Linked DNA regions of Lepisosteus oculatus. The protein of the gene in region 1 interacts with the protein of each later gene in a pairwise test. Links are inferred from orthologs where the notes say so. Each region holds a gene or a part of one and is shown on either strand. Other genes may lie near its edges. The genes, in order: nme7, zbtb48, neflb and krt18a.1.

Region 1 (7,683 bases):
GGAAGCAGGTCACAGCCAGAGGCCCAGGTGGATGGGATTCCTGGCCCCAAGTGAAGCAACTTCGTCTGGACAGTAAGAGGGACCATCACTGTCAGGCAGGGCGTCTGAGAAAAGCTGGCTTGTTACGCATTCACTGTCCCCTCCACCACTGACAGAGGGCAGAACTTTGAGCTCTGGATCCAGCACAGAAATGTCAAGAGGCGTAGCTCTTGGGAAGGCATTGGGAAGTCATGAAGCTCGGGAATCACTGCGGGCTGGACAGTGGAAAGATTCTTTGGAAAAGCTGCCTTCAGTGGGTGGGCAGATGAGTGCTTTCTGGGAGGTAGAAGTTTCCAAAAGTGGTTGAAGCTGTGGCTGACCCTGAACTTTTACCTTGCTGGAAGAATCTGTGCTTTTCATTCTATCAGCAGGTTGGTGATCTGAGGTGTGCCCTGCTATAAAGGTGCGGTGCTTTTAAGGAGGACTGGTATTGAAGCACAGAGAAGTCCAGGGTCCTTGGCAAAGTGGGAGTTAAGACTCTTCATCCAAGGGAAATCCAGGTCCAGGATGAGGGGCTGACTGCAGGTGCAGGAGCAGGAGAGGCAGCACAAAATTTAGCCACTGTCTGCTGAATTAGTATGTGTAATAGTGAACTTGTTCAATCTTTCAAACTAGTCTGCTTATCTCCTAGGGCTGCCAGGAAGGGTTATGGAGTGTTTCGCCCTCGTGCTTGGCTCTGTCATACTGTAATAATCTACCACTGTGGTGGAACCAGCAGCGGATCTGTGAGGAATATTGTGAACCCGCATGCCGAGCGAGAGGCAGATGAGACAGAAAAGGTGTGCAGTGCTGCGCTCCCACAGAGAAGCTGCACAGGCAGTGCACACCCATGGGAAACAGCAGCTGTGGCTGACTAGGAAATCAGGAAGTAAACACAGTCCTAATTTATGGTCGAGCAGGCAGGGGGCAGATCCTGAAAACACTGGTGAAAAATGGTTCGCAGTAAGGAAGATTTTTCCTCAAATGCTCTAATAACTCTAGGAATGACTCCAGAAAAAGCTCACTTGGCTTTTAACAGCATCATTCTGTCAAAAGCAAGTGCTTTAACACAAGCAGTAGACATAGAAGCTATTCTCCTAACAGCCTCGTGCTGTAGGCACCACCGATGTCACAACTCAGCAGATTTGATTTGTAGGGTCTCAAAAAGTGGCTGTCTCTAAGTGCATGAAATTTTAATGATTTTCAATTATTTTGTGTGAATGCCCTACCTAGTATTGTTTCTATTTAAAAATCCGTTCAAATTATTTAAAATTAAACAAAACAAAAAAAAAATCAGACATCAACTAAAAAGTCCAAATCAGCAGCTTGACAGGCAGACCTGCGGTGTTCAAGCACTATTATATCATTTTGCTCCATGAACTAAAAGGTGCCTGAAATGGAGACCAGCTTGACATCAGTGTTTCTTATTGCTGTACCTTCATATAAATTGCACATGGAACATCAGTGGAGACTGAAAAGAATCCCTTTTGTTATAATCACTACCATCTCTGCAGTTACAGAAGAACTTTCAGAATGTGGACTGAAATTGCCCGTGCCTTTTCAATCAACAATTTCCAATCTGTATGGATACATTTTATCCCACAGTCATACCTCATGCCAAGATAAAAAAAAAAAAACAAAAAAACGTGTTTGACAAGTAGAAGAATACTTGGGCTTTTTACAGGTAATCAAATTGTGGAGAATCTGACACGAGAAAGCCAACCTCAATAAACCAGAATGCCACTCTAATGACACACACAAATGTGAGATAGCAGGTTAAGTAACAGCACTTACAGAAGGATGATAAAATCACACATGAGGTTTGGATGTTCGGAAGATGTGGCCGAACCATGTTAAATATGTTGGTTAAACGCAATAGGATTCAGTTCTCCAAAATGTTACAAGCAACTCACTTGTAACATGTATGAGAGGAATGTCATGCAATTAACTATTAACTGCTGTGGACTAAAACTTAACGCAGCTTTAACCATGATGTCGCTTTCCGAATCTATGTTCAAGCCCATGACTCTTGGGAAGCCCTTGGCTTCCATGCACGTCTTCAAACCATGAATGATGTAGTTCACAGAATTAATTTGCATACTGTCATTTGTTTCTGGCTGACTACTTCCCCCCGAACTGTACAAAAGCAGAGCACAGCATGACCCCCCCCAAAATAACATTTTAGATTTACTTGTTTCCAGGACGTTCATTGACTATGATAACCGGGTAAATGCTTTGGTATACCTGCTGTTCTTTGTTCTGCAGGTATATAAAAAGGATCATAGTCAACATCTGTTTACTAGTCATTATTCAGAGCTTTGCCCTTTAGTGAGCAGGAAAAACAAAACATTGAAATTTTGCTTTTCAAAAATTAGTAAAAGGAGCAAATGTGACACCTAGCGGTACAGCTGAACTAAGGATGAGCGTGAGCTAAGGAAGCAGTAAAAACACGGATACTTCAAGGCAGGTTATCACCTTCGAGGACTACGGCCAAACGTAAAAGCATCTGCGGGGGATGTAAGCACTTATTTAGTTTTTCTCGTCAATTTTCAGGGAAAGCCACGCTTTTCAAGAGCACGGTGTAACGTCACTCTCGTAACACAATGAGACTCGACGTCCTCGCATTTAGAGCAATCGCAATGAATCTGATGTGAGTGTTTGATTTTCATCATAAGGCAAATATCTGACCTCTGAAAAGCCTTGCATCCTGCAGGAATGCGTCGTCCTCCGCTGGATCTTAACGGCAGGACCTGACTTTATTCGGTTATGATCATACAGAATACGAGACGAAGTTATTTACATACGTGTACGTGGATACCTCAGGGATTCGTCCCCAATTAATACACTGCCGCTGCAGATCTGTAGATCTGTTAACAACTGTTGTGAAACAATGCTGAATGTCCCTTCAGAACAAAATCTGTTTACGACGACAGTAGGAAGCTCTTTACCACTTCATTATGAATGCTGTGTATCCAAGTGCTGTAGAAGTAAACATTACAGTCGCTAGTGCCTTGTTTATGAGGCACGACTACTGCGTCTACTGACATGCAACTATTTTTATAACTATTGTACCCTCGTTATATATCATGTAACCACCAACAGTGTGCACAAAGAGGCACTATAGCTATAAAGAGACGCAACGTCACAAACTGTTCTTTAAGAGTAAGAATAGGCTAAATTATAAACCTTGTGATCGCTACACACTGCAAAACTACAAAACAGAGTGATGCAGGAGCTGGAGCTACAAATAAATGCTTCGGGACAAAACTGAGAAGATATCATAGTCAACATCAGAAACATTACCAAATTACGAGCCATTTTTAAGTGTCTCAATAAACATACTTTGATAAGCTATAGACGTCTTGGCTAACAAAAAAAGAGCTTCCCGAATTTAGCTATGATATAGGTATCCCAGTTTATTCCCTTATGTGCTTTTTGAAAGTCGTTTTCTTAAGTGATTTAAAAATACAGGAAAGTGAAGAAAACAAGAGATCAAAACCTCCTTTTCCAGTATAACTTACAATTACAATTCGACCTTAAACGTTAACAAACATAAATATATATAATGGGTTAAATGAAATATAAAATCCATGCAACAGATAAAAAAACAAAACAAAATATTGCTCACCATCCTGAAGGGTCTGTGCTCGCTCGTTTAGTCAGTCAACCCGCGGCATCTGTCCGGGTTCATCACCATAGCAACAATGTAACGAAGCGTACGGAAACACGCGCGCGCTGGCGAAAAAAAATAGCAACAAAAGCTAAAAGTAAAGTATATATATATAGCTTTTATTTTCATAAATGAAAACATTTGATTGTTTGATTTATAGTATCTAACTAACAAATTGCGAGGTGACGCTTGTCAAGGGAGGAAGTATTTCTATGACCTTAAAGGTTATTATGAACAAGGCGGTGTGTGTTGTTGTGACGCGTTTGTCGTCATCTTTGTTTTCTTTTCTTAATACGTAACTGTGAGTCTTCAATGTATGTAATCTTCATGTATTATATAATATATTTTATTAATTAAAGTATTTGACACTTTAAATGAAACCTTATATCACTGTCTTAAAGGAGAGCTGTCAGAATTAAACCCTTACATTTAATAAAACGATCATGCAAAGATCTTGTTCCGTCTGTGTATGTTTAGCCTGCCCTTTTGAACTCTTGGCCGGCTTTAATAAAATCAGCCGAAAGGTATATAGGTTCCATTCTTTGCAGTATTCTCGCTTAAAAACCGACCAGATGGCAGCCTTAGTATATAATGTTTCTGTTCATGTAAATACAGTCCTTAGTATGTCATTGTTATGTTAATTTAAATACAGTACAATAGATGTAGAAGTGTGTTTTTGGACAGCTCTGTTTTGTTTTCTCTTTTTATATTGTTCGAGTATAGTAGAGTTGCTGTGGAAATAAAAAGGCATGTGTTTTCCTTGCAGAGACAGTTACAATACGACCGAGGACAGAGTCAGAGGAACTGGGGGAAAGGTACGTCGTTATGGGAGCCGCAAGCATTAGTTCACATGCTTTAAGTTCAAGTTTTCTTAAAGCTTAAGATGTAAAATCAAAATGTGACCTGAAGTTTCTCAATACGCAATACACTTGTACAAATGTACTGTTTTCTCAAATCACAATACAGTTAGGCTTTCATGCGATTCTGCCTATTTGCAGGTTAAAGAGCAGTTCCACAGATTCTTAAAGAACTGCAACGCTATTTTGATATTTCGGTTTTTTGAAAGAACGAGCGCCAATAATTCAAATGTACACAGTAAGTTGTAAAACCTTCAATTTACATCACAAAAGGTACGACCTTTCCAGGTAAGCACAGCGCCATATTCTGCGATTCAAGACTAAGCAACAAAAAACATACGGTGAGGGAAAGCGGCTCCACTACATTGTGAACAAGTAGGCTTGTGAATCCAATAGAAATATTGCTCGTGACTTGGAAACGGTTTTGCGGATAAATGGGACTTCTTAACTCTGCGTGCAGATCACAGTTGTAATATTGCTGTGGTGAAATCTCTGCTCCACAACCTGTACTTATTTTCTCGTACATCGCATTACGTGAGTCAATACAGTGACTAGCGAGCATGAAGGGCTGCTACATGACACAATTTGTGGGAACTCTCTCGACCATGGTGAGACCTGGGGTTTGTGACAACCTGGTGACTTAGTCATTTCACAAGGTTCGTTATTTTGTGCTTAATTCCAAATTTGTAACATTTTTTCTATACTTTTTTTTATATATTATTTTGTAATAACCAGTCTGCAGAATACACATAACAGGCCAGATTAATGCATTTCACACATAATATTGTGTGAATATTAAAGTGGTTGTTAGATTTATACACATCATGACATTTTTACAAGGTAAAATATCTCTGAAAGCATTACTTGTTTATTTTACCAGATACAACTGCATCTCTCCTCTGTAAAAAGTTTTTTTAACCCTGTTCTACGTGTCTAGGTGGTGCTAAAACACTGAACTATTCCAGATAATATGACTAATTGTACATTTGAGTCATAATCTGTTTCACCAGAACTCTTGATTGATACATGGTCAGAATCGGGTGCTACAAGGCTTTCTGTCATTTCATGTCATTAATTTTAGGTTATATTTAGAAACCCTGAAGTTGAATACCTGCATGTTGTTATGTGACATTTTATAGCGAAATATTTATATTCAGTAACCATCTTTGAGACATAGATCTGCTAAAGCTGTTTTAAAAATGTTTTTTTCAGAAAGAAAAATGAACATGGATGGCAAAATAGTCATTCTGGATGGTGGATTGGCAACAGAGCTGGAAGCAGCTGGTGTAAAGATACAGGTACATTAATGATTTATACAGTAAACCTGGACTAGGTAACTTTGGTTTATTGCTTCTGTATATTTTACATGTTTTACACCTCAAGCAATTTGTTCTTATGTACTGTATCAATTTATTATACTCATACAGTTAGAAATATATCCATTTATTTTCATGATGTTTGAGAGCCCACAGTCATTTGTAATATATGTAAAATAAGATGAAAGGCAGTAAGGCACAGTAATGCTAGACAAATACTATAATGTTTCACTTTTCCAGGGGGATCCACTGTGGAGTGCTAGGATTCTGCACACTAACCCCCAGGCTGTGAAAGATGCCCATTACAGGTAAAACCTAGCCCAGAGTTTTCACTTCATACACACACTGTATTTTATTATTTTAAGTTTTACATAAAATGTGCAAATACATCAAAAATAGTGGTAAAGGTGTGATGTTTATTGTTTCTGTATATTCATAAGAACAAGTTTTTTTCTGGATATAGTACTCTTTCATTTAAAGCATACCATGTGATATACATTGAATGAACATATACAGTGGGTAGATCAAGGGTACTACAGGCAAACCCTGGTCTTGGAGAGCCACTATCCAGCAGCTCTTAAAGGTCACCCTTAAATCATTAATTTGCAAAAACATGGGACACGAGAGATGTGAACAGTTTGATCAATTAAGCAATGGAATTTGTTCAATTAAGACACGAGTGGCCAACTGTTATACTGGAGAGCTACAGGTGTTTTCTTTTCTGATGATCTTGAAACTATCTGATTCAGTGATAAAATACTATCAAGTGTCAAGAAACTGATGATTTAAGGATGACCCATAAAACATACTTGTTTATTTCCCTCCAGGATGTGGGTTGGCTACCACTGACATACTGTAGGTAGTGCTGACAAAAAGCAGTAATACTTTTATTGTTCTGTAGATTTCTTTGTAGTGGTTCTGATGTTGTCACAACAGCTACATATCAGGCAAGCGTGGAAGGATTTATCAAGCACTTGGGTCTGACTTCAGAAGAAGCAATTCAGCTACTGATGTCAGGTGTTCAGATAGCTAGAGAGACAGTGCAGGAGTTCAAGGTGAACTGTCTTCAGCCAGGTAAATGCAGCTTCTTTTTGTAAGAAATGACATCTATATTTTCCATAGTTCAACATATATCCGATGTCTGGAATATAATCCTTGTGATGTATTGATTAAGCTACTGGTTTAAGAAAACACGGTTTCTGATCCTCTGAAGAAAAGGTGCTACTAGTTGCTGGCTCTGTTGGACCCTATGGAGCATTTCTGTCAGATGGCTCTGAGTACACGGGATCTTACGAGGAGGGAATGAGTATAGAGGTAATACAAGCTAATTCTTGTTTTTAATGTATTTGTTTGTCTACTGAAACACTCTGTTGAAAGAGTAATGTGCATTTTATTTTAATGAAATAAGTAATAATAAGTAAATAAGTATAAGAGTAATGTGCACCAGATTTAATCACACTGCAAGTTAGCCATGGCTCAGAGAAAGAGGAAGAGAAAGAGGTTTCTCTGGGAAGGTTCTTGGCAGGCGTGTTGCAGTGTGAACTCTGTAGGACATTTGTGGTCCATCCACTGTCATTATCCTAGGTGAAAATGTGATTTATTTGAATCTTTTTCTTAACCAAAATCACACTTTCCTGGTGTGTTCCATAACTGTAATATATCTGCACAAGATTTTTTCTGTTGAAAATGAACCATGATTTTCAGATGGCAGCCCCTGTACCTTTAAGTGAGCAATCACAAAAGACCCTTTATATTTGTGACTATTATACTGAGGGATTGTTTTGTTACAACAACAATAACAGCTGATAAAATAGTTCTTGTG
Region 2 (7,084 bases), on another chromosome or scaffold:
AGAGGCAGGAGAGGAGAGGGAATGAAAACCCGTGACTTTAAGCAAGAAAGCCGCATTATCGGATAAGCCTGCAGAGGACAGATCCGGTACCTGCAATGTGCAGCAATAACTCTACTGCATCCACCGTGTGACATGAAGAGAAAAAAGAGAAGACATAGGGGATAGAACATAAACTGTAAGGCCTGTGAAAGGCATTTTGTTTATTTTACATACTACGTGTTAACAGCATTATTACGCTGCTAGTTTTAATGCGTCTCATTTGCTGCCGCTGGCAAATCGGTGTTTATTGGTAAAGTAGAATATTGGCCTGAACCTCTAGAATCTCCAGTATCCCTCAGTTATGATGGGGGGGGGTCTCCCCACAACACAGACTGTAGACACAGGGTAAAAGAGGGTGAGGCAGTGGACCTGGGATTCCTGAATTTTACAGGCCAGATCCCCGCTGCTTGTAAAATCACACAGAGAAGTGCCAACTCCCAGGAACGTGAAAAGCACGTCTGCGTGGGATGGGCCCGTGCTGCTGGAGCTGACCTGCACGGCAATGCGAGAGATGGGAGCTCCTACAGTCCGTTCTTCACTGCCCCCCCACCCGGAAACGCACAGCTGCAGGGCGGCACGGCGACTGGCACGTCATCCGAAACAGCTGTACCGAACATGTTGTACCGGGAAGGCAGAAGTGTTGTTCCCCTCACCGAAGTGTCCGTCCATCCGTTCTCTAACCTCTCTATCCAATACAGGATCACTGGGGGAGCTGGAGCCTACCCCAGCAAGCAAAGGGGTGCAAGTCTATGAATGAATCTATGAATTGGCTTCATCACTCTGCTCTCCTCCCCACTGAGAGCTGGTATGTGGGGAGCGTTCTGGCGCACTATGGCTGCCGTCGCATCATCCAGGTAGATGCTGCACACTGGTGGTGGTGGAGGGGATCCCCATTACCTGTAAAGCGCTTTGAGTGTCCAGAAAAGCGCTATATAAGTGTAAGTGTAAGTAAGTAAGTCGGGGTACATCCTGGAGGGGGTGCCAATCTATCACAGGGCACACCCAGCCATGCTCATGCTCACACCAGGGCCAGCTTTCCCTGAAGCCAATAAACCTGCCTAGCGTGTCTGTGGACTGTGGGAGGACACCGGAGCACCTGGAGGAAACCCACTCAAACACGGGGAGAACATACAAACTCCACGCAGACAGCACCCCGGGGACTGAACCCAGGGCGCACACAAACACACACACCTTTTGCGTGTGCAATTTTCCCAGAAGTCAGTTAACCCGCCTGGACAGTTCAAGGGTTCCTGTTTGATTCCAGCTCCTGTCCCTGTTTGTGTGGTGTCTGCATGTTGTCCCAGGCTGTGGCTGGGGAACTGGAGAGGACGTTTTAATTGCTTACTCTAATTACGGGGTTGTACAGAACCAAAATTAAGACTGTATAGAAACAAAATCAATGGTCCAAATGCTTCCTTTCATTTGTCTCCTAATCTGAAGTCAATGAAATCTGGTCTTTTTTGTTTTTAAAGATTGTATGCCCCAAGGAATGTGATAGCTAACTGTTAAATACGTGTTTAAATGCTACGGTCTGACTGTCACTAATACTTCAAACGTCTTTTGTTTTTGCAAGAAGCTAAAAAAAAACAATAATTATCAAAAACAAACTAAAAAAGCTGCATAATTCGTTGAGGTTAATATAAAGGTCCTTGCGCATGTTATGCATTTGGATTTAATTTCTGGATTCTTGATGCCACTGAAGACCACTGGAGCAGATAAATTCCCTTGAAGGAAAATAAACTGGAAGAACGTGATAACTGTATGATCGATTTCAAAATCTCGCATTATTCATGCAGAGGCTATGGTAAGTCTTTTGTCGGAAAGGCTCAGAGGATTTAGACGAGGAATAAACAGGACGCTACCGAACCTGTGTCTACACTTAAACACTGCTGTTTGTAAAAGCCGCTGTACAACATGTGATTCAATATGTACGCGTTGGCTCACCTATGCTTATGCCCACCACGACTACATAGCGATTTCTAAATAGAACCATTCACACTGCACAGAATATCACAAATAATCTCGCTTAAATAATCGCTGGTAACATAATATTGTTATATGTCTGATTTTGTCTTTATTTCCAGCGACGTTCATCAGCATACAAAACCCCTCTGGAATATGAATTACCGTTCACTCCCATCTGTATTGCCTCTTAGCCCATCTCCACCCACACAAATAATACGTATGGTAAAACGTACCTGTGTAAACCCCACAAAAAGAGTTATTCGCGCTTATCCACCGCTTAACAGCTTTTAGTCGTCGTATTTTTGTAGCCTACAGCCGCAAAATAAAAGCCGCACGTCTCCATGTGTAACAACAGCCGCCACAGCAACAAGCTTCCTTGGCCAACCAAGTCATTCCAGGAGTTACACTTTCACAATTCATTGCATCGGGAATAGGCATATTTGAGACTTCAATCGTCTAAGAACAGTTTTCATATTCACATACATGAAAATTAAAATAGTCCTGGAAAATAAATTTAATTTAATTTAAATGGACAGCGAAATTGTTGTATTAAGCATATAAATACATTTTCCTCCTTGAGAAAACATAAGCTATAAAATGATGGACAGCTACAAACCTTCCCGAAGTTTTTCCGGCCTTCGTTTCTGCGTTGGTGCCCTCTGTTGGTTAGGATATAGTACAGCGCTTCCGTTTTCGCAATATGTAAACGACAGTGTTGAGAGAACACAGTACTTTATTGATCTGATCATTTGAATTAATGAGATAATTTTAAAATTGTGGCTTTCTTATTCGCGCACAGGACAACCTGTGTCAATCAATTGCCAGTGTAACACGTGGGTAAGATAAAATAAACTCCTTCAGTCCTAATAGTTTTTCGCCCCGTTGGAAAATTACACTAAAGTATAGTGAACTCCAAATACATACACACCATTGTTTGAACTATTACAGAAATATATTGCGGTTTGTTGGGTGAAGCCTGCTCCTGTTTTTCATACAGCTCATATTTACCACACTGTAGCTTAATGTGGAGGTCCTCAGACCTACTGTTGGACCAGTAGGTGGCGCCCTTCCTTCTGGAGCATAACATCCCATTCGGTCATTCTATGGTGTGAACCCCCATCTCCCTGGCTGAATTACACTGTGGGGTGGCACAATACAGCCTTCCCACAGCTCCCCCTTAGTTCTAGTGAGGAAGCGGCTCCTCACTTTTCCACCTGAGTCACTGCTGCACTTCCTCACACCAGACTGCTTTCATTAAACCAGTTTGCAAACTACAAGCCGAGGTCACGCCCAGAGGAGCAAAGCACACCGTTTCCCTTCTGGTCCAGTGGCCATCTGACGATTTTTACACACCACTAAAGTTGAAGTAATGACACGTTTTTCTTAAAGTTGAGGGAAAGCTAGTGTGTTAGTGGGGCCAGCAGGGGGCGCTGCCCCTGCGGTCTATGTGGGTCCTAATGCCCCAGTATAGTGACGGGGACACTACGCTGTAAAAAGACGCCGTCCTTCAGATGGGGTGTAAAACTGAGGTCCTGACTCTCTAAAAATCCCAGGGCGTTTCTTGAAAAGATTAGGGGTGTAACCCCGACATCCTGTCCAAATTTCCCCCTGGCCTCTACCAATCATGGCCTCCTAATAATCCCCATCTCTGAACTGGCTTCATCACTCTGTTCTCCTCCCCAATGTTAGCAGGTGTGTGGGGAGCGCACTTGTGCACTATGGCTGCCATCGCATCATCCAGCTGGGGCTACACACTGGTGGTGGTGGAGGGGATCCCCATTACCTGTTAAGCACTTTGAGTGTCCAGAAAAGCGCTATATAAGTGTAAGCAATTATTATTATGTCTGTGCTCCCTCTAGATAGTCTCTGAGAATTCCCAAGGCTGGCCAGTTAAAAAAAAACAACCCTTACCCATATAAACCTTCACATATATATCAGATTCCGTTTTGAAAACTGGTTTTCTGTATAAAATAGACATGAAGAGAAACTGCGCCCCACACTGCAATTGACAATCTTCCTGGTGAAGTTTTAGCCACGCTAGTACGTCATATCCGGTCTCTTCTCCAACATGGCCTCCTGTAAGGTAGAAAAAAAGTATTTCGAGCCCATTTGTTTTTTCCCCTAAAAGTACCATTCGAAATAGCATGAGCCTGATCCCATTCTCTCAGCCTGAAACAAAGTACTTCCCCTCCATCCTCAAATAAGGTAAGAAGCACTTTCGTCGGCGGTTTCTGTCGTACCAATGGCACGTTAGGGACCGTCTTTAAAAACATGCCTTCCGTCGTAAACGTTGAGCTAAGGGTGAGTTGGTACTCATTCTGCTAAGAAGGAAACCGAAAAAGTGAGTCATGCTGTCATGGTTTTGCGTATTACAGCATTGGGACTTTCAGAGGAGATAAATCACCAACGTCTTGCTCCGCTCGTCAGAAATATTAAAATGCTGCTGACGCCTACCCCGGTGCAGTAGGGGTACAATGTGTTACTTTAATGTACTTTGTCTAACGTTTTGGAGAACAGTACTTTGATCCGCCCTGTCCCTTACTTGTCAAATGCAGTACCCCCTGTAGCTGTACAGTAAAAAGAAACGCAAACTTTCCCAGCCCCATGCGTCTCATAATGGACAGGGGCGTTTCGATGTTTTTAAACAAATCGAATTAAACTAATTAAAAGGGTTTGTTGACGATGTTGAAATCTCTTCACCACAGGTTCATGAACGGTATACAGTGATTCAAAAAGACCTAGAACACGTACTGGGTCAGAAACCCAGGCACCAGAGGTGACCTAAGCGAGTGCGTTTTACAGTTTTTATTGTCACACAATATTTCCCCCTCGAAAACCTGTTCCAGTACTGCGACCTTAACATGGCCTAACGATAACAAATTCCTATCGTGTTTCTGGAGCCTTAGACACGAGAGAAGTCTCCTCATCCATGCCCAGCTGAATACATTTAACAAGAAGGCGTTGTTCATGCACCCATGTGTAAGGCTAGGCTGTCATTCCATCATTTACGCCAATCACATGTATACCGTTAGTTACGCAGGTAAGATTAGGCAATTCCACGGGCTTTGAAGCTGTTGACAGGCCGTCCGTGTCTGCTCTGTGCTTAAAAGGCTCTGCGGCGGAAGATGGCAGCGCTGGAACACAGACATGCCCAGCTGGTGTTGTCCTCCCTGAACCAGCAGAGGGCGCTGGGTAGCTTCTGCGACGCCACGCTGAGCGCGGTGGATGGAGAGGTGTTCCGGGCCCACCGCAGCGTGCTGGCCTGCTTCAGCCAGCTCTTCCGTGACTCCTACTCTGCCACCCCCTTGGTGGAGGTCTCCCTGCCAGAGGAGTGCCCCTCCGAGGGCCTGGGGCTGCTCCTGGACTTCATCTACACCGGGGAGATGAAGCTCAACGCTGGCACCTTGGACAAAGTGCGGCAAGCTGCTCTCAGCCTGTCAGTGCCCCACGCCCTAGACCTTTGCCAGGAGTTCAGCCAGGGTGACCAGCGCCCGGCCAGCCCGCTAGAGAAGTCGCTGGCCAGGGACGGCGACAGCCAGGAGTCTCCCAGGGGGGACCCCGAGGCACAAGGGGGCCCGGGCCAGGCCGAGACGCGGGGGATGCAGCCCAGGCCCCGGCCGGCGCCCAGACCCAAATGCAAGGCCGCCAACAGCGCCCCGCGGCCGCCGGCCCCCGCAACCACCACGACCCGCTCGGGCCGCAGGGTCAAGGGCCCCAGCCGCCTGCTGAGGGACAGCCCCCCCCCTCCTCCTGCCCCTCCCCTCCCCCCGCCGGCCCCCCGCCGAGCGGAGCCGCTGGCGGCGCAGGGAGAGGGGCGGCGCGGGCCGGACACAGGCGAGCGGAGCAGCAGCCCCTCCGCGAAGGGCACAGAGGTACCAGGGTCGAAACCAGGGGGGTTTGCCGCGTAGCCACCAGGGGGTGTACAGGAGGGGGGCATCAGGCCTGGGTGGTGTGCTCGCTCTGTGGCTGGAAGGTTGCCGGTTCGTATCAGAGGAATCCTACTCCGTTGGGCCCCTGAGCGAGGCCCTCAACCCCAGCTGCTCCAGGGGCGCCGTATAAATGGCCGACCCTGCGCTCTGACCCCCAGCTTCTCTCCCTGTCTGTGTGTCTCAGGGAGAGCAAGCTGGGGTCTGCGAAAAGACACATTCCTAATGCAATAAAGTGTATAGGGCCAATAAAGTGATCTCTAATCAGGCCGGGCCCGAGCCCAGGGGCAGGGAGTGCTTGAATTGAAAAGGGTGGGGTGTTGAAGTTCGATATTGTCTGTAAAAAAATTAAGTCCTACAACTGAAGTATGTTTTTGTTCTGTTAATCCAAGAGGTTCCGTGCTGAAAAGAAAGGAGACGCGACGTTTCTGAATTAGGCTCCACAGCCGAAAAGTTGTGTCTCCTTTCTGCTCTTTCCGGCGTGGAATGAACCGGACGCAGCTCCCTGCCGGAAGTCCAATAATTCCCGCGCTCGCTCGAACACGAACCTGAGCTTTTAGTTAATAATAATTAATAATAATTGCTTACACTTCTATAGCTCTTTTCTGGACACTCCACTCAAAGCGCTTTAGAGGTAATGGGGATCCCCTCCACCACCACCAGTGTGCAGCCCCACCTGGATGATGCGACGGCAGCCATAGTGCACCAGAACGCTCCCCACACACCAGCTCTCAGTGGGGAGGAGAGCAGAGTAATGTAGCCAATTCATAGATTGTGGCTACGTTGTCTTTTCTTCCCCCGGTTCATGCAGATGAACAGCCGAGAAGCGGCTCTTTCCCCAGCCGGTCTCGTGGCGGGGTGCTTGACCGAGTTTCCTCTCGCGGCTGCAGGAGGGGAAGCCGCCGGAGCCCGCCCGCGAGGAAGACGAGGAAGAGGAGGAGGAGGAGGAGGGCGAGGGCGGGGGCCAGGAGGACACCGACGAAGACTACCTCCCTACCACCGCCACCCCCACTGCCGGCGCAGCGGGGCCCCGGGCCAAGCGCAGGGGCCGCGGGCGAGGGGGGGCGGTCAACAAGGAGAACGGCGAGGGGGCGGGGGCCGACGCCAAGAGGGGCTCCGTCCAGTGCCCCACCTGCCACAAGACCTTTCTCAGC
Region 3 (7,852 bases), on another chromosome or scaffold:
AAAACCACTGCACTATGTGATGGGGCTAAGGAAATGTCTGACTGCGTCTCTGGTCGTCAAGCACTTGTACATGCTCATAATTAGATTGCACTTGTCTGTCATAATGTAATACTGCATTCCCACCACTAGTGGGCAGTATATACATGACTGCGAGTTATTCAGCGCTTTGCTTTTCTCTACATGGGTGGTATCAATAAAGCTTCAGCACTGAGCTAAAAGCACTGGATGTCTGACCAGCTATGGCACATTCAAGTTAAAATGGTTCCATTCTAATGAATTACTTTGAGCCGCAACATCTTTAGCTTGAGAATGACCATCCACCCTTCATTAACCGCTTAGTCCTGAAGTCTGGTTCAGGTTTTGTTCCTGGTGAGCCAAAGTGCTTAATTAGGAGGAGTTAGCTTTAGCTTTCTAACGCCCTGCTCATTGATCATGACAGGCTGCACAACCAGGCTTCCAAATCTGCAAGCTGAGTCCGAGACAGGGTGAAGCCCCCATCTAGAGGTCTGTGGGTGGACAGCAGGACCCAGCCTCAATGGGTTGGCAATCCATCCCAAGATGTGCAAACACATTTGCAATTAACCTAGGCAGCACGTCCTTAAATTGTGGGAGGAAACCTCAATGTTACTATAGAGTGACCATGCAAATACCACACACAATGCACCCCACGCCAGAATGGAACACAGGAGTTACAGAGCAGGAGCTAAGGCAAAAATGCTACCTGCCATGCCTCCATGCACAGGGGAACCTAACTGTGTCCAGTCAAATGTAGCCACGTCCAAGTCACGTGCTCCAAGGACTGACCTGCTGTAACGTACAGTATGTGATCCTTTTGACTGACGTGCCACCTTAGTTGAACTGATCTCTGCTTCGAAAGTGAGAAAGCTTCCAACACGTTTCATCAGTATTTCATTAGAACTAATTTAATTTGTAATTAAATTAACGGGGCGCTTGTTGAAAGACCTGGACTGGAACGGAGCAGAACAGAGGCAGTTGATTTACTAGCCTTTTCAATCCATTGTTTTCCATTCTGGGCATGTTGGCCCAGCCAGCTCTTAAGACAGCACAGCTGTTCAATAAGAAATGTGATTTCAGTAATCTAATAAATCAGATGATCGACCTAAAGACCCGCCCTGCTACAAATTCAATTAGAAATTCCGGTAATTGGGTGCCAGGGAGTAATGTAAAGCTATGTTTCATATTGAATCTTCGGTTTCAAGGGTCTCCAGCCCTAGTCCTGAACTCCAAAACTCTGCTTTTCCTTATACTCCAGGTCTCAATTTCTTGATTGAACCAATTATTGGCTTAATTAGTTCAATTAAGTTCAGTCTTAATTAATTCCTTCTGACTGAAGGTGCCTATAGAAGGAGAAAGGGGGCAGATACAAAATACCGCACATCAGTGAGTAACTACTGTATCTGCAAGACCACCCATCTCTTTAGAGACTGTGTCATTAAATTAAATCTGTGCCATTGTGATTTACAGCCCCTCTGTGATCCTGCTGTGATCTGTCTCTCTCTGCCCACTGGCCCCACAGCGTAATTCTGCTGTCTCCTCCCAGCTCATTAGCACAAGATCGATGTCGTAGCTCACAAGCACACTGCAGTAAACCAGTCCCCACACTCTCCACTGTGCAGCAATCTGCAAGGCAGAAGATGAGAGGGACTGGGGTTGGCTGGATTCCAGATTTTGATGGCCAGAGGACAATCACTCAAGAAAAAAAAAGCAGATTTAAGGGAACAGTACCTACCACTCATGGGATCTACACTTTCTGTGATTTTCATTACACTATCTTGCTACAGGAGCACTGCATGATTCTATCTCAACAAAGACCAACTTTTCCATGCTGACAGGCTGGGTAACAGTTCCAGCAAACTTAGCTTTGGAAATAAATTACACCAGAGGAAATGACTAGGGGAAGCCTGCTGTATTGCTAGTTCCTATACCTAGTTTAAAATTTTAAGATACTGTATACTCGCCAACAACTGGATTACAACAAGCAATGATGACAATTCACAGAAAGTTTTTTTCACTCAGTGATGATTAATGGGTTCTAAAAGTCCAGTCCAGAACATATTGAGTTATGTTATCACTTTCATGGCTAAGAATGATTTACAAATTTTAAATTCACAGTAACATTTAAAGTTTAAATTTAAGTTTAGTGTCTATAAGTAAACTGGGGCCACTCGCTCACACACATTCACTCAGATCTTAAATCAATTATTTTCCCTAGGCTTTACTAAATAGGAGAGAGAGGTACACACAGAGCAGCTGTCAAAGCGCTGAGCTTGAAGATGAGAGATGGAATTAAATCAGTTGAAAGAAAGATACCGAGAGGGAACTGTGTGGGGGCAGTGGAAGATCACTGAAACAGGCTTCCTACAAGAGACCAGCAAGAGCTAATCGACAGATAACACCACAGCGGCTTCTCTGCCTTGCTAATTGGTCCTTGATTTCTAAAGATGCTAACTGAGCCTAACTAATGTAATCCTGCAGTCATGAGATCGCTGATCAAACCCTGACTGAGCAGAATGACTCTCAGAGATATTGTCCTTGCTGAAAAGCAACATTTTCTCATTGATAGTGTAGCATCACATAAAACCGTATTAATTAAAATGTTTCTGCTTCTGTTTTCTTTAACTCTATAGGCCCTATTTAAATGTCCCCTGTTTTTACTCATTGTGACCCATCATGCTTTGCAAACAGTTATCAAATTTGATTCTACAGCCTAATGTTTCACATTTTTCACACATGCCAGTAATATCCCTCTCAGAAAATAACAAGGCCATAATTTTTTTTCTTTTAACGCACACTTGTAAAATACAATGTTAGAGATTAAGATTGTCTGATAGTCAGAAAGGAGATCTTAAACTGTGGGCAAATGGCCCTCTCCAGAATAAATGAATCACATGGTCATTTGTGGACTACAGGGAAAAACAGGCTCCTAGTGTGTTCATCTGGTAGAATAACACAATGCTCCTTCCCTCTGCATCTGAGGTGGCAAGAGGAACAACAGTGTTTCTGTACTGTACAAAAATCCTATTGGAAAGCCTGTTAGACCCACCAAACAACCAGGGCTTATCATAGAGGAATTATACATATACTATATATTAAAATATAATGACGGTTTCCAATGTACAGCAGTTTTATCCTTTATAGATTTTACCAGATGTACAGTACTCCAGTGAAGTGCACATATGTTTGCATGTATTTTTGATCTAAGATAATTCTAAATGCCTATGCAAATGTCCTGCTAATAAGGCAAGAAGCCAAAGTGATCCAGCACTTGCTACTGGTTCAAACAGAAGAGCTTTGAGTTTGTAAAACCTGAAATGGTTCAAGCGCCTGTGCAAAGAGAGATATTTTCCTCCCTGCCAAGGAGTTTAAAAACAGAATATTTCTGGGTAGGAATGAGGAAATAAGAGAAATTCAAAACTGCACTTTCTGCAATATATTGATCTTGAAATATTGTGTTCGTGCAGGCGCCAGCTAAAACATTTAACTAAGAACATTGCAATCACCGGACTGGTTGAAAAGATCCGGACTGACAGAGACAACTGGAAGATAAGCACAAAGTTCCTTCAAATCCCAAAGACCCACGATGGAAAGGTAACGTTTACCATCTCCTGGTGCTGGAAATGACACTTTAAAATTGCACACAAGCTATAAATATGACATAAGCCAGGAGCTATGCATTTATCCCCAGAGGTAGTCTGCAAACTATTAGGAGCAGTTTGCTAATCATTAGTGGACCTCAGTGATAAATGCCTTCTTTTAATAACCTCTGTTGATAGCTACACAATCGTCGGCACTGTCAATTACAAATGCTGATCTGAAGGGTGGCTGAGATGATCTAAGACTCCAGGGAGCAGAGGACTGTGCCTGAAAACGAATTGCACAGCTACAGCGGCTACTCAGTTACACTCCACCCCCCAATTTGACTGCGACACGTTCCCACCCAGACTGTAGACTCCCAGGTTTGAGCATCTAGCCTCCTGCGTCCGCCCTGAGACTGCTCGGTCTACACATCACCGCTACCTGCTGCTGTACTCTGCAGAGTGCAGCACAAGCCATCTGTTTAAGTACTTGGCTGTAGCCAAGACACTGCATCGTCTGCCGTAGTTACTATTACAATAGTGAGACACTGAAGTGAATGGGCCCCAGATTCTCAATTTCACATTTCACACACTGACCTGAGTCTCCTGCTCCTGCAGTCTATACCTAAATACTGTTATTGTTATTACAGGACAATGATACCTGCCCTTACTGTTCTACAATCTATAAATGGAGTGTTATCTAGAACAGGCTTGGGCTGTAAATGCTGTTATATAAGTACAATATCCCGAGCTATGATAAAGACAGGTTCATGTTTTAGAAATTTCCATTCAGTGTCTTAATGTCTTTGTTCCTGCGGCTTAAAAACTGGCACGCGCCTCCAGAGCCATTTCACTTTGCTTAGTGACAACTTCGTAGCGCTTGCAATCCCAGAGTGACAGCTCGGGACATGGCCCTAATTTACATGACTGCACAGTCGTGACATGATTTCAAGAAAGCAATACAGCTGAAATGCATGAATGTGGCTTCGCACGAGCCTCACACTCATCCTCTCATGCTTGTGAGACTCCCAAAGAGCCAAAGTAAAAGTCGGATCACAGGAGAAGACTTGAATTCAAATTCCCTTGCAGGAAGGAAGGAAAAAAAGCCCCTTCCTTTTCTCCTTTGCTCTCCCCCCTCCTTCTAATCCTCCCTCCTCTCCAGGCAGAAACAGAGTCCTGCCTCTCTCTCTCTCTCTCCATCTGCAAGCTAAGCTTTGGCTGAGAGCTCAGCTATTGATCGCCGCTGTCAGTGGAAAAGTGCTTGCGTCAGAGCCCTGCCAGGGGTATAAAGGCAGCACCGCCGCGGTAACAGCACTGAGTGCACACGGCAACCGAACTCCCCTGCCCTCCCGCCGCCATGACTTCCGTTGGCTACGACCCCTACTTCACCTCCTACAAGCGCCGATATGTGGAGAGCAGCCCCAGGGTGGTGCACATCTCCGGGGTGCGCAGCGCAGGATACGGGGGCGCCCGCTCGGTCTACTCCAGCCACTCGGCTCCGCTGTCCACCTCGGTGGGCACAGCCCGCCACCGCCCCTATGGCCTCTCCGCCTCCTCCGCCTCCTCTCTCCTCATGGCGGCGGACTTCGACCTGAGCCAGGCCACGCAGGTGGGGAGCGAGTTCAAGACCGTCCGCACCCAGGAGAAAGCCCAGCTGCAGGAGCTGAACGACCGCTTCGCCAGCTTCATCGAGCGCGTGCACGAGCTGGAGCAGCAGAACAAGGTGCTGGAGGCTGAGCTGCTGGTGCTCCGGCAGAAGCACGTGGAGCCCTCCCGGCTCCAGGCGCTGTACGAGCACGAGATCCGGGAGCTGCGGGCCGCCGTGGAAGAGGCGCGGGGCGAGAAGCAGGCGGCGCAGAACGAGCGCGACGGCCTGGAGGATGCCCTGCGGGGCCTGCAGAGCCGCTACGAGGAGGAAGTGCTGAGCCGCGAGGAAGCGGAGGGACGGCTGATGGAGACCCGCAAGGTGGCAGACGAGGCTGCCCTCGGCCGAGCCGAGCTGGAGAAGCGGGCCGAGACGCTGCTGGACGAGATCGCCTTCCTGAAGCGGGTGCACGAGGAGGAGATCGCCGAGCTGCAGGCGCAGGTGCAGTACGCCCAGATCTCCGTGGAGATGGAGGTGGCCAAGCCCGACCTGTCTGCTGCCCTCCGCGACATCCGCTCCCAGTACGAGAAGCTGGCCGCACGCAACATGCAGGCCGCCGAGGACTGGTTCAAGAGCAAGTTCACCGTGCTGACCGAGACGGCGGCCCGCAACACCGACGCTGTGCGCAACGCCAAGGACGAGGTGGGCGAATACCGGCGCCAGCTCAAGGCTCGCAGCCTGGAGATCGAGGCGTGCCGGGGCATGAACGAGGCCCTGGAGAAACAGCTGCAGGATCTGGAGGAGAAGCAGAATGCTGACATCGCCGCTCTTCAGGTCAGTGTTTGTAGTGCAAGTGGAGGGTATAACTTCCATATACAACTTTTACTGTCATTTCTTCCATGGTTAAGTTGTATATACTTTATATATCCACATAATCTCTCCAATTTCTAAAACAGATCAGTAATCTGATCTTTGGGATCAGGCTAGAATTCTATCTAGATTTTTTTATCTTAGCCTTTGCCTGCCTTTAATGCAAGTTTTTGTAACCAATACGATAGGCACAAAAACAGAGGAAGATTGCATTGTATTTGACCGTTTCTCTGTCTGGTCAGCCAGGGGAATGAAACTTCATGGCATCTACTCAATGGAGAGTTAGTAACTGCAGTATCCGTCTCTCTACTGTCGTGATCAATAAGAGTTAAAACCGACTATATCCCAAACTGAAATGGCAGATGTCAGAGAAACAGAACAGCTGCAGAGAAAGGGTTAATTGGGATTGCTCCACACTTTATGTTTCTTGTTCTTTGTTACTGAGAAGAAAAGTGGACCAGGGCCAGAGACACATTAGCGAGACCAGGAAAAGAAAAATCTCTCAGCCGTTCCAGAGAGGTACTAGAGATGTCTACAGACTTTTGCTGAGACACTCAGTTCTGTATTTAGTTTCACATTAAATCCATCTGACGGTTTATGGTTCATCTGCGATAGATGGACTAGAAAATCTCCAAACATCTAGAGAGTTCTTTGAGAAGTTTGTACTGCACATTGCACTTCTGCAGAAGCAGTAGCAGGCTGTCTTCATACTGCCCAGAGTCAATTGTACAGCCCTCTGATAAAAAGATCACTCACAGCACACGGTGCTATTGTTGATGACAGCTGAAAAAAGAGAGAGAGCAGAGACTTTTTTGCTTACCGGAGATGTGCGGTGCTGTGAGAGGAGCTTCCCTTATAATCTTAATAATATTTTTTTTATTCAGCACACGATTGCAGTAGCTGAACAGGAGCGGAGCTTCTTCTTTTCGTGAGACAGGTTTGAGTGCTTTCAATTGTGCCTAGCACATTGTCGAGTGAGCTTTGCATGTCTTCCACCAGGAGAATGCTGCAGGCAGGGACAGCTTCCTCTGCGGTGTTGCGGACGCCCGGGGCTCACAGCACACTAAAATGAATTGGTTACTGGAGAGCAAGCCTGCAGAGTGACAGGTCTTCTGCAGTCGAAATACAAAGCCATTGACAAAACACAGGAAAAGGAAAAAGTGGAGGAGTTGAGAGCAAAGCCTGTCCATCCTTAATGCTGTATGTACAGGACACTAAAGAACTAATGATAGTTACTGAGCAGATGCTCTAATTCCAATTAACTTGCACAGGATAGGATGTGATAAAAACATCAACTACCTGCTGAGTGACACTCTCTAGGCAATCTCTTTTACATACCACCCCAGTGGTGGACTCTGGCAGGCTTGGAGCTTAAGCCATGACCTTCCTGGTTCTGATACAGCCCTATACCTCCACCACTGGCCCCTACTGCCAATTCTGCAAATCCTGTACAGGGAGAAAGCGACACAGGAAAAAATCAAAATGCACACTCTTGGCACTTTTCATGAGCGCTGCTGGCATTTCCCAGAACACCATCCATCAGTGTCTCTTTCCCTAGGGGGATCTGCTCTGCTAATCCTTGAGGTGGCAGGATCCCAAAGCTCCTCATGGCTTGCCTGCAGTATGGCGATCTGTATTCTTTCCTGTTATTATTATGGTCCATTTGAATGCTGCCAACAAATGTGATTTAAAGCCGAGAAAATGCCAGCACAGCGATTGAACAGTCAGTCTGAAAATGGATGCAGTCCCCAATTTGAGATCTGTCCTGGCAGTTGTAGCATTTTATTCGTTTTCAACGGGC
Region 4 (6,855 bases), on another chromosome or scaffold:
TCCCACCAGCTGTTTCACAGGTGGTCTGTTGCTCTTGTTCACTTGATAGCCCCTGTTAAATGAAAACAGGTCATTAATCCCCCTAACCGTCCGTACAGTTGAACAATGAGGTGTGTTCATTTAATGGTGCATGCAGTGCAGTGAGTCCATACACTCCTCATGCTGATCTCATCTCTTCATCATCACATACCCAGTATTTACCAGATGGATGTGGGTTTCACCGTGTGAGCTGTGGTTTTAATGGGAGGAAAGAAAGTACAAAAATGAAAGTCGAAAGCTGGCACAGAGTCAAAAGAGCTGAGTGTCGAATAGATGAAGTCATACATTCATGTGAAAAATGAGCAATAAAAGATGACATTTCTGGAGGGGACATTTGTCTGCCGCATGCAGGTGTTTTCAACGTGAGTTCCAGCTCAGTTTCTCCTTTTTCATTTACCACTGACATATCAGCCTTGTTGTCTTTGTCAACTTCCCCCACCCACCCTGGCACAGCTCATCTTCAGTCTGTTTATACTGAACACCTGGGAAGTATGATTGCAATGTTATGAGGAGGGCTAGCAGCCTCCAGAGTTGTGTAATCAGAGCTGTGCGGGCTAGCGTGCCGGGATGCTTGAGCAGTTTTCTTTTGTTCTGCTCACTGAGGATCCCAGCCCTAGTGCAGACATGCTCATAACGAGAATTATGACTCCGACCACAAGAAGAGTCTGGGATTTTTTTTTCCAACTGGGTCTGAAAGGAATTGCGTTTTCCCAGTTTGAAATGGGGTCCGGACTCCATTCAGTGGAGTGGTGCACGCAGTGGTTGCAGGCTTTCCAGTGGTCTGGACAGGAAGGAATCAAAGGAGACTGGTGGTGCCATAAACATAACTGCTGGATTGTGTCTGAAACCTTTCCGCGGCAGTTCAATTTGCTTGTTAGTGTCTCAGGGGGTTAACTGAGCTTCTCTTTCTTTTATCTTTTTTCCCCCTTGTCTCTCAAAGTGAATTAGCCCGTTTTCCTTTACCAAAAAACAGTACTGTCCTGAAAGGGTTTAATCATGGGAAAAACTCTTAAAACTCCGCCTTTTACACTGGTATCACAGTGTAATAATTGCTGAATTGCTATAGTAAAAACTGTAACATGATATTACCCAAGTTATAATAACACAAGGGTAATCTTTTAAAATGGCTTCCCCTCCTTAATTTTTGTTTGGTGGTATTAATAAAAATAATTCAAATTGTTGATGCTGTTGTGCAGTTCATTAATCCCTGCATTTACCATCGTAACACTGAAAGGAAATACTGTAGAAGTCAGATATCAGGCGTTGTTCAAGCCTGAGGAGCAGGAGGACAGCTTCTGTAAACAGTGATTATCTGTTGACCCTACTGTATGTGCACGTGTACACGGGGTAACAATAACATTCCTCGAGGTCTGAGGTCTTACAATGTGCAGAATGAATTGTTTCAGCCTGCAGCTGTGAATGAGAGCTCTGTGTGACTGGCTGGACAAGTTACCAGCTTCCCTCCCTGCTGTAGGAATACCAAAGATGATTCTGTGATGAAAGGTTTTTCAACCATGCTTGAAATGTCCCTTTCTGTTCAATAACCTTAGAAGATAGTGGCAACACGAGAGCACTGTTGAATGAACAAATTAACTGACATGCCATTCCCAAAAACACACACCATGGTCCTGGGAGGGGTGTCCAGCTGTTTGTCTTACAGCGATCCCTCTGGATGGGTGTTTCAGGGTGCACTTCAAGGGTGGGTGCCAGGACCTTACAATGTGTGTGATAAAGCAAAATAATTCATAGTGATCTGAAATAAGTGAAAATAAAAAAATGTTCAGGTGCAGGTGCAATTTGCACCTTAATTGATTTTAGTCAAATTCTGGAATGCCTAAGTAATTCTGCTAATTTTTCAGTGAAATAATTTGCTTAACATTTTTAGTCAAATGTCTTAAACACCACCACCATCCTTCTGATACAAAAGCATCAAAAATGAACAGCAACACTTTTTGGACATCTTTAATTTGTTCACTTTAATGGATCGCGGCTGTTAGTAGTTTGTTAGTATTTACAGAATAGTAACAGGTGAAGATGAAATTGTAAATTGCTTAAGTCTCAGAAGCACTGGATAGTCAACTAAGACAAAGTAAACTAAGACAAATTATTCTTTACTTATTCAGTAACCTAAGACTAAGCCTTTAGACAAGCCTGTGTTTTATTGTGGTGTAATGGGGGGCTGTCTTGAAACAGGAATGCACTCCAAGCCGAGACCCTGTCCTCCCACCCCCTCCTCAAACTGGCTGTCTGAGTAATTCCAGTTCAGCAAGGGGGGAGTTCTGCTCCTGTTTTCTTCCAGCCCATCCCTCTGATCTCATCGCCAGCACAATCGCAAAATTCCTTTCTACACTCCATGGGCTTCTTCCACCTCTGCTCTGATCGTGAGGCGCAGGGTTGAGTCGCAGAGACGATCGAGGGGGGGACAGACAGGGGCAGATAAAAAGAGTGCCCCTGACTCTGGGAGTTTGAAGCTTGAAAGCAGCTGTTCAGCCATGTTGCAACATCTGGCTGTGGCGCTTTGTACGGATGCATCCCTGCCCAGAACTCCCACCCCATCCCTTCGGAACAGTGCACTACTGCCTGGGAGCACGTCAGCTCCCTGCTCAAACCAATTCCATGGAAAAACATGAGGAGGCTTTTGTCCAAACTTTCGCTTTCCTTTCATGATGTATTATCGTTAGGCACTCCTGTGCCTGATCAAATCTTTCGAGATGCTCTTGCGTGTTGAAAAATGAGATAGGGCTTTGGCCTCCGGCGTTGGTCCTTATGCTTACCTTCCCTCTGGATTTGTTGTTTCAAGCAGGGACACAGGCCCGCGCATGTCTGTGCTCCTGAAAGAAACTGTGGAAAAGTGCGTAGCCCCATTTTCAGAATAGGAAGGTTTCAGTGATGGTTTTGATAACTGCAGGTTTGCACCATTTACTTGCCGATGGTGGCCTCACCGCTTCACAACCAAAATCATTTAATGTATCATTTTCTAGAAAATAAACATGAAATGCAGTTTGGAATGTGTTTTTTTTCCCTATCACTTTATTAACTCCTTACAATTTCTTGCATTAGAAATTATCTTTTCACATACCCCAGCTTGCTCTCCATGAGACACACAGACAGGGTCTGCCATTGTACAGTGCCCCTAGAGCAGTTGGGGTTAAGGGGCCTTGATCAGGAGCCCAACAGAGCAGGAATCCTCTGCCAGCTGTGGGATTTGAGCCAGCAACCTTCCAGCCACAGGTGCAGATCCTTAGCCACAGAGCCACCGCTCTGCCCCACCCCAAGATCGGTGATTTAAACTATCTACTTAACCAAGCACTAGTGTGGTTAAATGAGTGTTCAATAAGCACTGATTAAGAAGCAGCGCTATCATTGTTTATTAGGAAACTAATATATAACTGTTCTTCAGAACAGGCTGTAATCAGGGCGGTAATCACAAAGGGAGATCTACAGTCCTGCGGCAACTCACAGCCAAAAGGGCACATTTCTTATGTGCAAAGGTTGAGAATGGGACGTGAAAGAGTGGGAGTCTGAAACTGGGCTTTTTCTCGGCACGGCCTTCGCGTAACAGGACACTAAGCGGATTTGGAGGCTCTTTTGTCCAGCAGGGCGGAGAGGCTCTTGTTTCTGGTCCTGGCTCTCCTTCACTCCCTCTCATACTCCCTTACTTACTGGCCACTTTTTTGTGAGGTTAATTTCACAATCTCCCTTCTCCCTTCAGGGCTGGATAGGAGAGCAGGAGGGAGGGAAGGGGTGGTGCTAAGCCTGCCTTGGAGGTGGAGATTTGAGCGCTGAGTATAAGGCAGGCAGCTTAGAAAGCCCCTGCTCTGTGTCCCTGTGCCTCAGCTACTCCAGGTCACTCTCCTGTGTTTCTTTCTCTCTGCCAGCCAAGACTCCCCCTTCTCTCGCCATGAGTTTCAGCTCCAGCTCCTACTCCATGCGGCCGGCCGGCTCCATCCGCACCACGCAGATGATGGTCAAGCGCTCGGTGCCCCTCAGCAGCTCCGCCAGCGTCTACGGGGGCGCCGGGGGCCGGGGGTCTCGCATCTCCCTGGGGGGCTCCTCGGGATTCGGCGGGGGGTTCCAGAGCGGGGGCTCCTTCTCCTCCTCGGTGTCGATGAGCGGCTCCGGGGTGATCACCAACGAGAAGGAGACCATGCAGCATCTGAACGACCGCCTGGCCTCCTACCTGGAGACGGTCAGGAACCTGGAGCAGGCCAACAGCAAGCTGGAGCTGCAGATCCGGGAGGCCCTGGAGAAGAGGGGGCCTGCCGCCCGCGACTACAGCAACTACGACAACATCCTGGATGACCTGCGCAAGAAGGTGGGTGGGCGCCGCGGTGTGGGGGGCGGGGAGTGGGGTGAGGATGCTGTGCGGGGTTGGAACGGAGGTGGGCTCTCAGGGTTCACACAAGCAAGGTGAGCTCTCCCTTAACCTGCTCTGACTCCTCCACTCCACACTGATCCAGGGGCTGCAATCTAACCAACCACCACCTGATCATTTATCTTGAAATCTACCCTGTTGTGCTTTTGCACGTGAAAATAAAAGAGAATGTATCGGTGTATTAGTGCATTGTATCTCAAGAAGATCAAAGCAGAAAATCACATGACCAAGGTTTAGCTACATAAAAAATCTGGACAGGAAGAGAACCGGTAAGTCTTCAGCCTCCCTTAAGAATAGGAAGTCTTGAATCTACAGAGAAGGTCCAAATCTGAAAGATTCACTGTCTCATTATTTCAGGGCCAGTGTCCCCTCTGTCCTCTTGAAACGAAAAGAGTCAGGCCACAAACAATTCTGCTTTTGTCTTCATGTGCTTTATAGATCCTTGAGCTGCAGCATGTCTAGACTCTGCAGATTGTTCTGCAAATTTTTAAAATTTGTCAATTTTAAAAAGAACTGTTATCCTGAGAGACAGTCATGAGGTAGACAGAGCCTAGTTGGTGGTTAATTCATTGGAACAAAAAAAAAGAGTGTTTTTGCACTGTTTTATCTCTGCTGTAAACTCGGTGAATCTGGATACAGTGAGAGAACAATAAAGCCTTTAAAAGCGGATAAAGTTTCAAAGTGCAGGAAGTGCAGGTCTGCGTGTTTGAAAGTAAACAATGGTTTTAAGTAGAGGTGATGATTAACAGTCAATACCCCCCTCCCCACAAATTATTGTGTTTTCACACTTGGGTGGGTCCAGTGCTGTAGAAGGGGGAAACTTATATTACAGTGTATTCGCACCGCAATATATTTTCAAAGACAAACATCATCAATCATTTGAATTTATACTCACAATTACTTTTCCTAAGGAAGGTTCAGGGGTTTACTTTGCAATTAGGGCTCCACAGTTGGTTGGTTCACTTGCAAATGTACAGTCTCCCAACAGACAGATCACAAGATAAAATATGTGATAATAGCACGTCCACATACCTAACAGTCATTTTGAATGACATTTATGGAGATTAAATATCTTTATTATTAAAGCTTGCGTAATCCTGCCAGACTTGAGCTCACACTTTCAGTTCATGTGCAAGTCTGTAGGACTGGGAAAAGTGAACTTAGCTTCCAGTATCTTTTTTAGAGCATTCTGGTGGGTTAATAACTAACTGGAGCAGGCTTGCGGACCACTTAAGATTCCTTTTTGGTGTTAGCCTTTGTAAGGCACTGTGTACGATACCATCTAAAATATAGCTAGTTAAAAATATAACCTAAGGATATGTAAAAGAAAATTTAGGAGGCTGGCATTTTGCTCTCTCTCTCTTTGCATATTCACTCTTGTCTTTTTTTACCTTTGCAGTTGGTTTATGTAGAGACCGTACAGTATAACACTGGCCTTTTGGCTGGGCTGTGAAGAAAGCTCATTAATGTTTAACTTTGCAGTTTTGCCATCAGAGGCCAACTGTGAAAGAAGGGGCCAGCGGTCAGCAGAAAGGAGCTCACTTTACCTGCCTGCAGCCCACAGGGAGCATCTGGGAGCTCAAGCTGTAGTATTGGTCTCATCTGACTGGCTTGAATCTGGCCCTGTTGGGTACATGTTAAAGTGTGACACATCTTCCACCTGACTCTGTACCTCACACCTGTGGCCTCTCTCTCCTGTAGATGTACAGAGCCTTGTAGTAGTGTCCATCCCAGCTCCGACAATAACTGGGAAGGCTGGATTTCATAAAAACAATACACAGGCGCAGAATCCCTCATGTAATTTGAGCAATGCATTCCATGAGCTGGGACCAGGAAGCTCAGTGACTAAAAGAGACCTGGCTCACTGCAATCTAGGCACACCTTAGACCAATATCAGTGACCTGTGAACCACAATCCAAACAAACAATCCTTCTCCAGGACTGGGAGCCCTGTTAAAGTCTTAAATGGAGGATGACTTGGCTCACTGAGACTCACTCCTTTTGTCTCAGATCTGTCTCTGTTACATACAAACTACCACACAAATGTACTGACAGCACAAGTTAACACACATATCGCCAACACTAACCTACTACTGCTCAGATCTTGTTGGCTTCGCCCATGAAGTATACATAGTGTCACTCTTCTGCTCTAGCATTCAGTGATTCATATAAGATTTACTGAAGTCCGGGAGCACGGAGTCCTGGATTGTCCATAGGGATTTGCATTCACTAAAAGGGGTTTGATTTTTAAAAATCATAAGACTAAGCAAACTATTCAGTTCAGCTGTTTACAACCCAGAATATTCCATCACACTGCATGACTTCACTGCAGGGCCATGCTATATGTGCAGTGATGCTGAAGAAGACAAGCGTTCAAACCTTCTCAGCTACTGTATATTGAGTCTTTGAGCAAGCGCCAGGGACTGACGTCCACTGAGAGGG

What was found.
Region 2: the proteins of nme7 (region 1) and zbtb48 interact in binary tests that used the Homo sapiens proteins (3 or more experiments, as listed by UniProt). The two-hybrid records come from large-scale screens. The link is inferred for Lepisosteus oculatus from reciprocal best matches to the Homo sapiens genes NME7 and ZBTB48.
Region 3: the proteins of nme7 (region 1) and neflb interact in binary tests that used the Homo sapiens proteins (3 or more experiments, as listed by UniProt). The two-hybrid records come from large-scale screens. The link is inferred for Lepisosteus oculatus from reciprocal best matches to the Homo sapiens genes NME7 and NEFL.
Region 4: the proteins of nme7 (region 1) and krt18a.1 interact in binary tests that used the Homo sapiens proteins (3 or more experiments, as listed by UniProt). The two-hybrid records come from large-scale screens. The link is inferred for Lepisosteus oculatus from reciprocal best matches to the Homo sapiens genes NME7 and KRT18.

What each region holds. Positions count from the first base shown.
Region 1 is NC_090710.1:23,185,862-23,193,544, reverse strand, and holds the start of nme7 (nucleoside diphosphate kinase homolog 7), read right to left. Parts: upstream 3,023-7,683; 5' UTR 2,725-3,022; coding exon 2,707-2,724; intron 2,536-2,706; exon of another isoform or gene 2,512-2,535; intron 1-2,511. Other genes in the region: homocysteine S-methyltransferase, read left to right, coding at 4,132-4,212, 4,455-4,503, 5,758-5,843, 6,102-6,169, 6,763-6,935, 7,075-7,175. UniProt on the Homo sapiens protein: Possesses an intrinsic kinase activity. Displays 3'-5' exonuclease activity with a preference for single-stranded DNA. Does not seem to have nucleoside diphosphate kinase activity.
Region 2 is NC_090720.1:9,105,624-9,112,707, forward strand, and holds the start of zbtb48 (telomere zinc finger-associated protein), read left to right. Parts: upstream 1-4,061; 5' UTR 4,062-4,209; intron 4,210-5,114; 5' UTR 5,115-5,129; coding exon 5,130-5,876; intron 5,877-6,820; coding exon 6,821-7,084. UniProt on the Homo sapiens protein: Plays a critical role in transcriptional regulation and chromatin remodeling. Acts as a regulator of telomere length. Directly binds the telomeric double-stranded 5'-TTAGGG-3' repeat.
Region 3 is NC_090697.1:65,109,495-65,117,346, reverse strand, and holds the start of neflb (neurofilament light polypeptide), read left to right. Parts: upstream 1-4,852; 5' UTR 4,853-4,953; coding exon 4,954-6,015; intron 6,016-7,852. UniProt on the Homo sapiens protein: Neurofilaments usually contain three intermediate filament proteins: NEFL, NEFM, and NEFH which are involved in the maintenance of neuronal caliber.
Region 4 is NC_090696.1:17,462,102-17,468,956, forward strand, and holds the start of krt18a.1 (keratin, type I cytoskeletal 18), read left to right. Parts: upstream 1-3,839; 5' UTR 3,840-3,940; coding exon 3,941-4,354; intron 4,355-6,855. UniProt on the Homo sapiens protein: Involved in the uptake of thrombin-antithrombin complexes by hepatic cells. When phosphorylated, plays a role in filament reorganization. Involved in the delivery of mutated CFTR to the plasma membrane.